2 linked regions of the Elephas maximus indicus genome follow. The protein of the gene in region 2 purifies or fractionates together with the protein of the main gene of each other region. This does not show direct contact. Links are inferred from orthologs where the notes say so. Each region holds a gene or a part of one and is shown on either strand. Other genes may lie near its edges.

Evidence for each region. The genes of interacting proteins can lie anywhere in the genome.
Region 1: the proteins of WDR24 (region 2) and CASTOR1 purify together in Homo sapiens (affinity purification with mass spectrometry; 3 studies listed by BioGRID and IntAct, counting the BioPlex papers as one, with this or other methods). This does not show direct contact. The link is inferred for Elephas maximus indicus from reciprocal best matches to the Homo sapiens genes WDR24 and CASTOR1.

What each region holds. Positions count from the first base shown.
Region 1 is NC_064840.1:26,092,184-26,099,390, forward strand, and holds the start of CASTOR1 (cytosolic arginine sensor for mTORC1 subunit 1), read left to right. Parts: upstream 1-4,205; 5' UTR 4,206-4,560; coding exon 4,561-4,795; intron 4,796-5,887; coding exon 5,888-6,081; intron 6,082-6,160; coding exon 6,161-6,293; intron 6,294-6,519; coding exon 6,520-6,643; intron 6,644-7,068; coding exon 7,069-7,182; intron 7,183-7,207. Other genes in the region: TBC1D10A (TBC1 domain family member 10A), read left to right, coding at 333-788. UniProt on the Homo sapiens protein: Functions as an intracellular arginine sensor within the amino acid-sensing branch of the TORC1 signaling pathway. As a homodimer or a heterodimer with CASTOR2, binds and inhibits the GATOR subcomplex GATOR2 and thereby mTORC1.
Region 2 is NC_064830.1:57,902,452-57,909,479, reverse strand, and holds the start of WDR24 (GATOR complex protein WDR24), read left to right. Parts: upstream 1-4,014; 5' UTR 4,015-4,717; coding exon 4,718-5,198; intron 5,199-5,766; coding exon 5,767-5,974; intron 5,975-6,316; coding exon 6,317-6,989; intron 6,990-7,028. Other genes in the region: FBXL16 (F-box/LRR-repeat protein 16), read left to right, coding at 205-289, 645-708, 946-1,094. UniProt on the Homo sapiens protein: Catalytic component of the GATOR2 complex, a multiprotein complex that acts as an activator of the amino acid-sensing branch of the mTORC1 signaling pathway. The GATOR2 complex indirectly activates mTORC1 through the inhibition of the GATOR1 subcomplex.

The DNA of each region.
Region 1 (7,207 bases), on a different chromosome or scaffold from region 2:
AGAATCTGAGCCTAGGCAGCCAGGCTGTCCTGGCAGTGATGGGGTCATGTGGGTAGAAAACAGGTTTTGGTTTGTCCAAGTCCTTCTGCTTCCTGCCCTGTAGCTCGGCAAGTGGAATCAGGAGTTGTGTGCAGCTTTCTCCCGAAGCAGTGACTTCCCTGGCATGCAACTCTGGGACTTGTGGAAACTGCAGAGACCAGACCCCCATCCTTCCTGGGGTCAGCCTTTAGTGGCCAGGGCTAGGGGATGCTGATGGAGGGCAGGGGCCCAGGCTGGGAGGCAGAGGGGAAGGTCTTTCTCCTCATGTGCACCTACCCCTTGCTGCCCCACAGGTAGTGGAGTTGCCTGTGACAGAGCGCCAGATTGAGCGTGAGCACCTCATCCAGCTGCGGCGCTGGCAGGAGACTCGGGGTGAGCTGCAGTGCTGCGCCCTGCCCCGGCTGCATGGTGCCAAGGCCATCCTGGAGGCGGAGCCAGGCCCCCGGCTGGCTCTGGAACCTTCGCCGTCCATTCGCCTGCCCCCAGATGCCCACCTCCCTGGCTCCAAAGCCAAGCCCAAGCTGCCCAAGCAGGTCCAGAAGGAAAAGAAGGAGCAGCAGAAGAAGGCAAAAGCAAGCGGCCAGGTGGGCCAGTCCCCAGCCACAGGCCAAGTTGAGGTGGCAGCTGCTGCAGGAGATGCATGCCCCCCACAGGACACGCCCCTGAAGGACCCAGCCCCCCAGGACTCAGCCCACCACTGCTCCCAGGAGAGTCTGACGTCCCAGGAGAGCGAGGATACCTACTTGTAACCCTGGTAGCCCAGGCCTCCGGGGCGGGGTCTCCACACATCTATACGGTTAACAGACTGACACTCCAGGGCCTGCCCACCCTCTGAGGGCCTGACCGCCTGGCTGGTGGGTGGGGATGGGGTCTGACTGGTTCATTACAGACTCTGCCTGAAGCTCCTTATTTATTTTCTCCAGAGTGGAGCTCAGGCAGCCCAGCCAGGGCAGGCAGAAGTGAGGGCCAAGTGGGTGGGTTCTTACTTCTCCTCCTCCTCCTGGGGCGATGCTCCCCGGGGCTGGGCCACTGATATGAGGAGAGGGCGGGGTGAAGGGTTGGGTGTTCTTTGTGTAAAATAGGAACATGGTTTTGTACAGAAATAAACAGACTTGTGTAGAGAGCTGGTGTTCAGCGGGGGACCAGAAGGGGATGCCACCCATGGGGCTGAGCGTCTCTTCTCCATGTCCTACAGAGTCTCCTATCCTGGGCCTTGGAACACCTGGCTCCCAGCCCAGCCCCAGAGCCTTTCTCAGCACATTTGCCAAAGGGGATGCCAAGTTCAGGGCCACCCCTGTTCCTGGCCCTCAGCTCCCCACCCCACTCCCTCAGTCCCATGTCCACCATCTGCTGTGGATAAGAGGTACCAGGCCAGGATCCCAGGGCTGGGGCAGAGCAGGGCCTGCTCCCAGCCCTTGGTCCCTACCCATTACCTTAAGGAAGTGGCTTCAGGGTCTTCCTCCTCCAAGACCTGGCCTGGATGCCACATCAGGCCCCAATGAGATTCTGAGTGCTCACTCTGGGTTAGGTGTTGGCGCCCGGGGTGGGGGTCCATGAATTCCCTCATGTACTCAGCCTAGGCCTCCATCAGAGGTAGAGAGGTGAGGGGAGAAGTCTGCCTCCTTGATAAACTGCTGCCTCCCATTGACTGGTGGCACAGTGGTTAAGAGCTATGTCGCTAACCAAAAGGCTGGCAGTTTGAATCTACCAGACTTTGCTTGGAAACCCTATGGGGGAGTTCTGCTGTCTTGTAGGGTCGCTATGAGTCAGAATCAACTTAACGGCAATGGGTTTGGTTTTTTCTTTTCCCATTGACTGAGCACGTGCCACGAGCCAGGCTGGTTGTGTCGCCAGGTTGTGCCTGATCAGTTACTCCTCAGCCCAGCCTTTATTCCCTATTCCAGTCTATTATCCCCATTTTACAGGCCAGGAAAGATCTGAGCGTGAAAGGAATCTTCCCCTGTAGAAGTAATGGAGCCAGATTTGCACCCAGGGCCCTTCAGCTGTCTCTCCTGACCCAGGTCCCAGGGTGACCTGACTCTGCTATTGAGGGCCCAGGCAGGCGCAGTGGTCACAACCTGATGAGGGCAAGGACAGGGTGTCCCTGGGAGAGGCTCCCCCTTCTGCTGAGGAAGCAGCTTTTCCAGTCAAACAATAGCGGCTGTTCCTGGCAGTCAACCAGGCTGGGCCTGGCCGTGGGGTGAGGGGGGCAGGAGAAACTCCCTGGGAGCTTAAAGGCATCACAGGGCCTGGGGCCTGGAACATCTTGTCCCGGTGTAGCTAGGGATACTGAGGCCTAGGGAGGCCAATGGTCATACAAGCCTATCAGGGCAAGGCCCCTACTTCCTGCCTCCCACCCCTCACCCCTGTGGTTTTCCACTCAATCTGTACCTGCATTGATGAGAAGGGTGGCTCCCCAGCCTTTCAGCAACACCCCTCCCCTAGCCCTCCAGGGGCAGCCCAGGATGTGGCGTTGCAGTGTCCACAGGAACCAGTGAGTAGAGAGTTCAGGGCTTAGTTTGTGTCTATCTGCCTACAGAGAGGCTCCAGAGAAAACAGAAGGCCTGCTGCGGCCCACTTTCCCTTGCTTGGTTCCAGGTCTCTTTAGGACTGATTCTCAAGACTGATGAGATCTGCAGCCTGAGGACCCTCAGGCCAGACTGGGTCTGCAGCATGTTTGGTCTTGCCACAGGCCAGCCTAGGTGGGTTGATAGCTGCTCAACCTTGGAGTCTTCTTAGACCTGAGGAGGCTGAAGCAGAACCCAGACTTCAACTTCAAATGAACTCAGGTTGGCCCTCACATGCTTCAGGTCTATGATGGCTGCCATTGCTGGGGCCTCCTTGGGCCTGAAGCAAGTTTGGATGTGCTCACGCCAGCTGAATTCTACTAATGGCTGCAGGTTTTAGGAGGCCTGAGATCTAGTACCCAGTGAGCTTCCAGCACATGGGTTTGCCCTCTTCGGCCTGATCCCTGTAGTCTGAGCCCTGGGCATTCCTGGACCAAACACTTCTGGGCTTGGTTAGTCTTGCGTGATTTCAAGCCTTAGGTCTGGGCCACCTTCAGCCCCCTACCCCATGGCATGTTACTTAGACAGAGGCTGCCGAGGCTCTCCTTTTTCATGTGTCCCTGGTGGGGAACTTTACTCTGAAAGTTAGGTGAGAGGAACAGATGTGGGAGCCACCCAGGCCGACCCAGGTTTCCCCTTGTCAGCCCCTTCGCAGGGTTCACCAAGCAGGGACGGATACGTATGCATCAATACCCACCCTAGGCAGCCCTTGCTGGGGGATGAGAACTTGTCACCCCCACCCCAGCCAGCTCTAGCGGCCCTGCCACCTGCCAAATAATGAGAAGAAGGAGGGAGAAAAGCGCCGGCACAGTTTTTGGAGGGACCCCATCACAGGGTCGCCAGGGCTGCACAGCGGACCTTTACCCCTCCATGCCCCAGGGGATCGCGGGCATCGCTCTGGTTCCAGCAGAGCCCCAGTTCGCCTCGCAGGCCTTTCGAGCGTCAATCAACTCAATCATGACCTCAATCATAAGACCCACGTGGGGGTCCAAAGGGCAGAGACGACCTCCATTCGTTCCAGACGCTTCCTGCCCCAGCACTGCTAGAGTCCTGCGGAAAGGGCGGGGCCTGGAGGGCGCGGAGCGGGTAGGGTCAGCCGGAGATCCAAGAGCTACTGCCGAAGGCGCGGGGCCCGCCGAGGTCCGGAAGGAGCGAGGTGAAGCCCCGTCATTCGGGGGGGCGTGGCCACCCCGGAGAGGCAGCGCGGGCAGCGGGGCGAGGCCGTCGGGGTGCAGGACGGGGCGGGGCGGGGCGGGGCTGGGACGGTCCACGGAGTAGTGGGCGGTGTGGACGCGTCCGCGCAACTGCTCCTTTAAACCCGGGCGCCGCCCGCCGTCCCGCCTCCCGCGCGGCCTGGGTCTGGTTAGCCGCGGGGTCCGCTCAGCGCGGGTCGCGATGGAGCTGCACATCCTAGAACACCGGGTGCGGGTCCTGAGCCTCGCCCGCCCCGGCCTTTGGCTCTACACTCACCCGCTCATCAAGCTGCTCTTCCTGCCCCGCCGCAGTCGGTGCGCTCCTGGGTTCGGGGGTTCAGATGGGGTTGGGAGCTCTGCTGTCACTCCCGGCCAGGGTAGGGGGATAAGGGTCGCTGCGGGGCGGGCTGGAGCGGGTGGGGAGGACGCTCCTCCTCCGGCCGCCGTCAGGCCTGAACCTACGGTCCCCGGGACCGCCACCTATCCGACACCGCGAGGCTCGGGTCCCAGGGCCAGTCGGGGTGCAAACAGCATAGAGTGGGCAATGCTTAACTCCAAGTGCTGCCAGATGGGTGGATTCCTTCCTGGCCACTGCGGGGAGCTTCCAAGCGCCTCCCGTTAGGTCAAAAAGTCCGGCTTGGGGACCCAGGGCCTGAAGCCCTCGGGGCCGTCTCCCGGAATAGGGAAAGACGAATGCGTGAAGAAGCCAGAGCAGGGGTCCAGGGAGGTCGGGAGGCGGAAATCAGTTTGCTATTCGGGAGATGGCGCCCACACCCTCTGCCCCGGGAAGGAAACTAAGGCCGGAGGGGAGCACTGGTCTTAAACCACCTGGCAGACGGGAGGGCGTCCGGCGGGATGTCTGTCCAAGGCAGATGAGCGCAGGGAGCTCTTCACCCCAGGCTGAAGGCGCCCCTCCCCCAACCAGGTGCAAGTTCTTCAGCCTGACAGAGACCCCCGAGGATTACACGCTCATGGTGGACGAGGAGGGCTTCAAAGGTGGGGGCCGGACTAGGAAGCAGGAGCAGGGGAGGGACTCTTCGCGCTGGGGTCCGGTGCTCCAAGAGCTGGGTCATTGAAGGCAGATGGATCTGGGTTTGAATGTGGACCCACTACTCAACTGGCTGTGTGCTCTTGAGCAAGTCATTTTCCCTCTCTGAGCCTGGTTACTGTTATGTAAAATGGTTGTGGTTATGGTTCTGATCTATCAGGGTCCTATGAGTGCTTTATACATGGGGCTGCCTGAGGGGGTTTCTGGAGCTGCTATAAACCCCTAACCGTTACTGCTCCTGGACTTCTCTCCCTGATGCTGGTCACCCGCCCCACCCCCCAGCCTGGGAACCCCAGGAGTTGGAGGGTTGGGGAAAGAATGCAGGAGCGGGCAGCCATCCAGAGCGGGGTCCTAGGGGGCCTCCTGGTTGTGCTGGGTGATCAGCAACCACCCAGGCTTGGCCCCCGCTGTGGACTGGAAGCCAGCCTGTTCCCTTCCCCAAGCCTTGGAGCTGACTTCTGGCTCCCATTCCTGCCAGCTTGGCCCATCCTCCAGACCTGAAATCTCAGGCCAGCCAACTGGCAATTGGCCCATCCATCCCCCACTGCTCTGCTTCGGGCCTTAGTTTCCCTGTTTGTACTGCAGGGAAGTCTGGGTTGGCCAGGGGGAAGGACATCCCCAGCCAACCTGATGTGCTTGCGCCTCCTGGTGGTGCCAAGTGGTGTAAAGCCTTTGTTAATCCTCAGAACATCCTTTCAGATAGGTATATTGTTGTCCCATTTTACAGATAAGGTAACAGGCTCAAAGGTTAAGTTACTTGTCCCAGGTTACACATTGAGTAAACGGTGAAATTGGGATTTGAGCCCAGGTCTGTCTGGGACACTTCAATTCCTAGCAGGCCAGTCCCTGAAGTGCTTCTCAGTCCTTGCATACATGAGAATCTCAAGAGAAAAACTTGGGGTGGGGGGGGGTCAGCCTCATTCTCCAGACCTCCCAGTACCTTGACAGGGCCCTCTAGGTATGGACGAGGAAACTGAGGCTCAGAGAGGGACAGGGGCCAGCTCTGTGGACCCTGACTGGGCATGTGCCCCTACCCACAGAGCTGCCCCCATCCGAGTACCTGCAAGTGGCTGAGGCCACATGGCTGGTGCTGAACGTCTCATCCCACAGCGGTGCAGCCACAGCAGTGCAGGCCGCCGGGGTTACCAAGATCGCCCGCTCAGTCATCACGCCGCTGGCTGAGCACCACGTGTCGGTGCTGATGCTGTCCACTTACCAGACGGACTTCATCCTGGTGAGTGTCTGCAGGCCCTGGGGCAGGGTGGGCCCGGGTTCCTGGGCACCCACATGATGTGTCTTCTCTCTATGGCCAGGTGCGGGAGCAGGACTTGTCTGTGGTGATCCACACGCTGGCCCAGGAGTTTGACATTTACCGCGAGGTGGGCGGGGAGCCTGTGCCCGTTGCCAGGGATGAGTCCAGCAATGGCTTTCCCCGTGCCCAGCATGGTGAGGGCTGCCCCCTGACACTCAAAACTCGGGCAGGGGATCCTCTTCCCACTGGGGCCTCTTCCCCTCTTCCCTTGTGTGGGCAGGTCTGTGGGCCCAAAGAACCTAGGCCAGTGCCTGGAGAGCGAGACCCCATGCTTGGCCCAGGAGCCTCCCTGACCCACCACTAGGGAGCGCCCTAGCCCATGGCTGTCTGTTTACCAGCCAGCTGGTCCCTCCCAAGCAGGGCCCAGCCCAACGGTGCATCCTGTCCAGAGCCCTCAGAATCGCTTCTGTGTCCTCACCTTGGATCCCGAGACGCTGCCAGCCATTGCCACCACACTCATAGACGTCCTCTTCTACTCACACAGGTGGGCCCCTTGTTTGTTGTTCACTGTGTTCCATCCTACCATCTCCTGCCCGTCCATACGTTCTGCAGCCCTGTGCCCTGTTCTACGTTCCTGACAGTCCCTGACACCCACATGCCTTCCACCAATATTTGAGCAAGGTTGGCTGGAGTCCTCTACGACTGTGTCAGCAGAGCCACCCCAGACCCCTGCCCTAGTCAGGCCCTCTTGCCTCTGGGATCCTATGTCTTTGGCATAACAGGTGGTACTCTATCTGCACAGTCAAGAAGTTGGGGCCTTGGACAGGGGAGCAAAGCGTTCCAGAGAGGGAGGGCCTACCCCGGGTCACCTGGTACCAGCCCCTGCCCCAGGGTTGGGAGGCTGATGGGGAGGAGACGGATGTGGGCTGGGTGCCTGGCACAGCCTCTGAACCTTCTTTCCCTCCCTAGTGCCCCCAAGGAGGCGGCCTCTGGGAGTCCTGAACCCAGCTCCATCCCATTCTTTGCCTTCTCCCTCATTGAGGGCTACATCTCCATCGTCATGGATGCTGAGACACAGAAAAAGTACGTGACCCACCCGTACCTGGAG
Region 2 (7,028 bases):
GTGGGTGGGGCCGCAGAGGGATCAGGGAGTGAAAGGGAACCATGGCTGGGACTGGCAATGGAAAGGGAGGGGCTATTGTGGGGCGAGGCAGGGGGCGAATCCACTCCTGGGACTCCCAAAAAGGAGCAAGGGGATGGAGTTGAGGAATGGAGCCAGATGAGTTGAAGGTGGCCTCGGGCAGTGCCCCCTCTGGTCCACCCACAGGTGCGTTCGCATCACGGACACTGGCCTCAGCTATTTGTCCACCATGTCGTCCCTCCGCAGCCTCTACCTTCGATGGTGCTGCCAGGTACCGGCCCTCCTCGCCTCAGAGGATGGAGGAGCGCCTGGGGGAAGTGGGGGTTGAGGGAAAAGCCCCCTTCCAGACAATCCGCTGACCTTCTCCCGCTCCACTCACACACTGTAGGGAAGTCTGGGATCCCTCCGCACCCAGCGGCGGACCTAAGTAGGCCTTACAGGGTCCTCAGGCCCTCACTGGCACTCCCAAACTGCCTCCTGGCTCCGTGGTGGCTAAGGAAACCCCTTCTTGAGCCCCGCATCCTGCCCCTCTAGCAGCCCAGTACTATGATTTGACCCCAGAGCAGGGTGGGGTTGGGAGGCGCCCCAAGTATGCGGACAGAAATAACCCCTGCGCTCGCGCCTAGGTGCAGGACTTCGGGTTGAAGCACCTCCTGGCCATGAGGAGTTTGCGTCTCTTGTCTCTGGCAGGTGAGACCCCCTCCATCCTCCTGGTCAGTGACCAACCCCGACTAGTCCGACCCCTACTAGTCCATCTGGTCCCTTGTGCGGATTCACACCTGAGCTGACTGGCCTTGTCCCAGGTCCAAACCAGAGAAAGAGGGAGACAGGGACAAGTTCCAGCCCCGCCAAGCCGGGTCCTGGCCGGCCCCGCCCCCGGCCGACCCCTCCCAGGCTAAGCCACCTCCCCCTCCTGCCCGCCCGCAGGCTGCCCGCTGCTGACTACATCCGGGCTGTCCGGCCTGGTGCAGCTGCAGGAGCTGGAGGAGCTGGAGCTGACGAACTGCCCGGGGGCAACGCCCGAGCTCTTCAAGTACTTCTCTCAGCACCTGCCCCGCTGCCTCGTCATCGAATAGCGCGGGGTCCTGCCCGCCCCCATCGCCTGAACCCGGTCATGCTCTGGGTGGGGGGCGGGGACACCGCTGAGCCTCCTCTCCCAGCTCTGCCCTCGGGGGAGCCCCACCCCAGTCCGGGGCGGAGAGGGGCGGGCGAGCCGAGGGAAAGCCCCGCCCTGCCCGCCCCCCCGCCCGCCCCCCCGTCACCTCCGCTCCTCTCCTGGCCCCGCCCCGGGCAGGAAGGGACAGTGGGCAAGCCCCTCGCACGCTCGCACACTCGGGGACTTTGTGCATGCCCCTCGTGCCCGCACTGCACGCCCGCCCTCCCCCACGCCCCCTCCGCCGCCATCACTCGCCCACTCGCTGCGGGGGCCAGGGTTCGGTCTTGGGGGCGCGCTTTGAGCTCACCAGACGGCCGCCTTTACTGCCTTCCCCGCCCACACCCCGCTCTCGGCCTCCGTGATACCCCCCATTCCGGACAGGGCCCCGGGCAGGGGGAGAGGGAGATCGAGGGACCTGGGTTTCCCAGGACACAGGGACCTGAAAGAGCACCAAGGGCTTCCCGCATCTTCCACGGCACAGTGCCTGGAGCCCTCCTAGGAGTGCGCCAAAGCCATGGCCCCCCCCGCCCCGAGGAGCCCAAGCTCCCTTGCCCCTCCCCCGCCCCAGGCCAGCCTGGCCCAAACGGGCCTCCCCCTTCCCTGCCACACCACCCCTGGCCTCCCTGTCCTTGGGCCCTAGGCAGGCTGGGGCAGATTTAGGTTGTAAGAGCAGTGGCCTGGCTGACCAGTCATGACCTGGGAGTGATCAATATCAGCTCAGCCAATGCCTCAACCCAGGGATGGTTCAGGCACAATGAGAGACCCAGAGCTGGAGTTGACACCTCAGGGCCCAAAGGCCTTGGGAGCAGCCTGGGCAGAGCCCACACTGCAGCCCCTGCCACCCGCTGGCTCAAGCCTTTCAACACCAAGCTTCACCGTAGGCAGGTGTCCACCAGGTGGATTCTGTAGCAGTGGGCCCCGGCCAAGGCTGGGGGAAGCGCCAGCCAGTGACCCCAATCTTCCAGTGGCCAGCATACCCTCTGCACCTAGAGGAGGGACGGCTTCCCTCTAACCCCCCCTCCCATCCCTCCCAGTTTCCCAACCCTCTGCCTGCCCAAATGGGCTTTGGCCATGTTCTGTCTGATTCCAAGACACTTGGAAGTCCTGGGCAATGCTGGGACATCTTGGCAATTGCTGAGGAGGGGGCTGGGACCCCTTTCCATCCCAACCTTGAGCCCCAGGAGATACACCCCCCAAATCTGATTGGAAGAGAGTAAGCAGTTTCCAGAGAGCCAGAGAGTGAGAAAGAGAAAGAGAGCAAACGAGAGCAGAGGCTCTTGAAGCAGAGAAGCAGTTCAACAGCCCAAAGGTTTCCCTGCCCCTTGAAGTGCCAGCAGGAGGCACTGGGACTGAAGTCGTCAGGAACCAGTTTCTTAAGCCCCTACTCTCCACAGCCCCTTAGTGGGGAGGAGGGAGCTGTCCATTGTCCAAAGTATTAAAGGAACTGAAGCTCTGATATTTCCAGCAACTATAGGAGGAAAAGTGAGAGAGAGAGAGGAAAAACAAACAAAACCAACCAACCCCTGAAATCATTTTCTTATTGTACATAATGACCTCATTCTCCTGTATATGCGGAAGATATAACCTTATATTTGGTAAGTGTTTCTTGTGCTATTTTATCACGTGACCTGTTTATAAAAATATATATTAAAAATGTTGTAAAAACCCGAGTCTGAGTGGTTTCTAGGTCATCAGACCGTGCCGGGGGAGGGTTTTCCTGCTGTGGGTGGCCCAGATCTATGTGGATCCTTGTGTACCTCTCAACATGCTTTCAACACACATGTTGGCGCTGTGTGCCACTGTGCCAAACTGGGAACAGAGCAGTAACCAACACAGAAGACGCCTAACCTCCCAGATGCTGAAACCACTGCATATAATATTCCCTCCAAAATGAGACCCATTCTACACACAGGGGAACTGAGGCTAAGAGAGGGGCAGGGATTTCCTAAAACATCACACAGTGCCTCAAGGGCAGAATCCAGGACTCACACCCAGCAGAGAACGGAATGCGGGAGAGGGTCACTGATTGAAGGAATCCTGCAAACAGGTTGTGTCAAGGACTGGAAGTCTGGTGGAGACTGAGGCCGACTCGATCCCTGCCCTTGTTGAGTTCATACTTGTGAACCAGTAAGCAAACGAACAGGCTGTGACATGTTGTGGAGGCGACAGTGACAGAAGTGGCCAGGAAGGCCTCTGAGAAGGTGATATTTAAGCTGAGCTCTGAGAGGTGCCAAGAGAACCATTCAGGTATAGCAGGTGCAATGGCCGTGAGGCAGGAAGGAGCGCTGCGTGCTAAAAAAAAAAAAAAAAGGCACGGGAGCCACTAGGGCTGGGGCACAGGGAGCGGGGAGAAGTGTGGCGGAAGATGGGGAGAGGTGGAGGCCAAGCTTGCAGTGGGAGCTATGGGGGAGGGCTTAAGCGGAAGAGTGGTACCAGGCTCCTGTAGGTTTTAGGTCAAAGGGGAAAGGCAGGCCCAGGCAAAGCAGTTAGGAGGCTGCTCCTGAGGCTCAGGAGTCGGCAAGGATGTATTTGGGGGACAATTGGAGGAATCTGGGAATCATTTACGGAAGATCTGACTTGCTGATGCGCCTGGGAGGAGGGAGATGTCAGGGATGAAAACTGGCATTTAAATACTGAGATAAAAACACCAAGGTGAAAACGGGTAGTCCGGGAGGCCCCCCAGTCCCAGTCCTGGGCTATCCTCCTCGGATACCAAAGCGGCTTCCTGACCCGGAACTTTAGTGGTGTGCGCGAGAATTCGCGCCCGCTTCCGGCGGGGCGAGTGAAAAGAACCGCTTCCGGCGAGGGGCAGGTAAGAAACGGACCGCTTCCGGCGCGGCTGTTAGCGTCCGGCCGGCAGCTTTGGTAAATGCGTTGGGAGCCGGCGGAAAGCATAGCCGCCCCCGCTGCTCTGGTTCCGGTCCCGCTGTCCTTGCTCCCCCGCGCCACCGGCACCTCCGCGCCGCCCTCAGGAATTCAGTACTCCGCCTGCGCCTCTGCTGTCTCCCGTCCCGCCCGTCTTCCAAACCCCTCCAGCTCCTTAAGCAGCTCGGGCCTCGAGGCCCCCCTATGCCCCCCGCGCCTCTATCGCCTGGGTCCTCCGGACCCATCTGCCTCTCTCCTCTTTTGTCACTCCCTCGCCTTCGTGTGGACGTGGGAGCCACTTCATTCCTCTGTCCAGCGACGCGGACGGCCGGGCTTGACTGACCGAGGGGCCAGTGACTGCCCAAATCTGACTGATGAGGGGGTAGAGAGGTGGCCTAGACCGAGACTGACCCGCCTCAGGGTACTGTGGGGCCAAGTGGCCTACCTAGCTAGGGTGATGGGCTGAACTGACTCCAGTGAGTTTGAACTTGCCTATTAGACTGACGGACAGAGACCCGTGGACTGCCCTGAACCAGCTCTTCACGGCTGCCCAGCCAAGCCCAGGCCCGAGCAGTCCTGGGGGGCCCAGCGAGTGTGAAGGGTCTGAACTGAGGGACAGACCCACAGTCGACCAGCCTTCCTGCTCACTGACCTCCTGCCCCCACCAGACGTGCAGCAATGGAAAAGATGTCCCGTGTAACCACCGCCCTGGGTGGCAATGTGCTGACGGGCCGCACCATGCACTGCCATCTGGATGCGCCAGCCAATGCCATCAGCGTCTGCCGTGATGCGGCCCAGGTTGTGGTGGCTGGCCGCAGCATCTTCAAGATCTACGCCATCGAGGAAGAGCAGTTTGTGGAGAAACTAAACCTGCGTGTGGGCCGTAAGCCCTCGCTCAACCTGAGCTGTGCAGATGTGGTCTGGCACCAGATGGACGACAATCTACTGGCCACAGCGGCCACCAATGGCGTGGTGGTCACTTGGAACCTGGGTCGGCCATCCCGCAACAAGCAGGACCAGCTGTTCACAGAGCATAAGCGCACGGTGAATAAGGTTTGTTTCCATCCCACTGAGGCCCACATGCTGCTCAGTGGCTCCCAGGACGGCTTCATGAAGTGCTTTGACCTGCGCAGGAAGGACTCTGTCAGCACTTTCTCAGGTGAGGCCTGCAGGGTTTGGATGGGACAAGTGCAGGTCTCAGTAGGCATCCCAGCCTGTCCAGGCCGGGCCAGGAGTGTTGCCTGCCTCAGAGGCCTTCAGGTGTGCCCCAGAGGGCTTCCTAGAGGAGGGGTTCAGGAGGAGCAGGCCTGGATGAGGTGGGAGTGGCACCTGGACCTGCTGGGGGTGGAGTGGGGCCGAACTGTCAGAGAGAGTGAGGTGTTGAGGTATGAGCCAGGGGAGGGGATGTGGTAGGGGAGGGATGAGGGTTGAGAGCTGTTGAGACAGGAGGCAAGGCCAGCAGAGTCGGAGCAGGGCACGGGCCACGTGTCTGCATCCTTGCGCCAGGTGCCTGTGTCTGCTCCACGAGGCTTCTCCCTGCGGCTGTGCCCTAAGCAGTGCTTGAGGGTGCCCATTTCACCTCTGGGCTCTAGGCTAAGGCTGCAGGCAGGCATGGAAACGAGTCCTCAGCCACTCAGAGGCTCCACCAGGCCTCCTCCCATCCTGGAGCTTGAGGACTGGCCCCTCACTTCCTCCTGCCCCTCCCCTCCATGGCCAACCACCTGCAGGCCAGTCCGAGAGCGTGCGTGATGTGCAGTTCAGCATCCGAGACTACTTCACCTTTGCTTCCACCTTTGAGAATGGCAACGTGCAGCTCTGGGACATCCGGCGGCCTGACCGCTGCGAGAGGATGTTCACGGCCCACAACGGGCCTGTGTTCTGCTGCGACTGGCACCCTGAGGACAGGTGTTGTGTGAGGGGTCACCTGAGGACAGGGTGTGTGTGCGTGAGGTCACCCAAGGGCAGGTGGGGCATGGGGGGGTCACCCGAGGGCAGGTGTGTGTATGGGGTCTCCAGAGGGCAGGTGTGGTGTGGGGCGGGGGAATCATCTAAGGAGAAGTGTGATATGGGGGAATTACCTGAGGACAGGTGTGGCATGTGTGGGGTTGTCACCTGAGGACAGGTGTGGTGGTAGTGGGGGGATTGGACAGACGGGTGAGGCACAGAGGTCTCTCTCACTGACTCAGACCTGTGAATCAGAGAAAGTAGGATACAGCAGGACTGAGGCACCCCCCTCCCACAGAAGAGGATGCTGAGGTCTTGGCGGGGCTCTTGCAGGGGCTGGCTGGCCACTGGTGGACGTGACAAGATGGTGAAGGTCTGGGACATGACCACGCCCCGTGCCAGGGAGGTGCACTGTGTACAGACCATCGCTTCAGTAGCCCGTGTCAAGTGGCGGCCTGAGTGTCGCCACCATTTGGCCACCTGCTCCATGATGGTAGATCACAACATCTACGTGTGGGATGTGCGCCGGCCCTTTGTGCCTGCCGCCATGTTTGAGGAGCACCGTGACGTCACAACAGGCATTGCCTGGCGCCACCCACACGACCCCTCCTTCCTGCTGTCCGGCTCCAAGGACAGCACACTGTGCCAGCATCTGTTCCGTGATGCCAGCCAGCCTGTCGAGCGTGCCAACCCTGAGGGCCTCTGCTACGGCCTCTTTGGGGACCTGGCCTTTGCTGCCAAGGAGAGCCTGGTGGCTGCCGAGTTGGGGCGCAAGCCCTATGCTGGTGACCGGCGCCACCCCATCTTTTTCAAACGCAAGCTGGACCCCTCCGAGCCCTTTGCAGGCCTGGCCTCCAGTGCCCTCAGCATCTTTGAGACAGAGGCTGGTGGCAGCAGCATGAGCTGGTTCGTGGACACGGCCCAGCGTTATGCCCTGGCTGGCCGGCCACTGGCTGAGCTCTGTGACCACAATGCTAAGGTGGCCCGAGAGCTGGGCCGCAACCAGGTGAGTGGGGTTGGGTGGGGTGGGGCAGGCATGACTGCA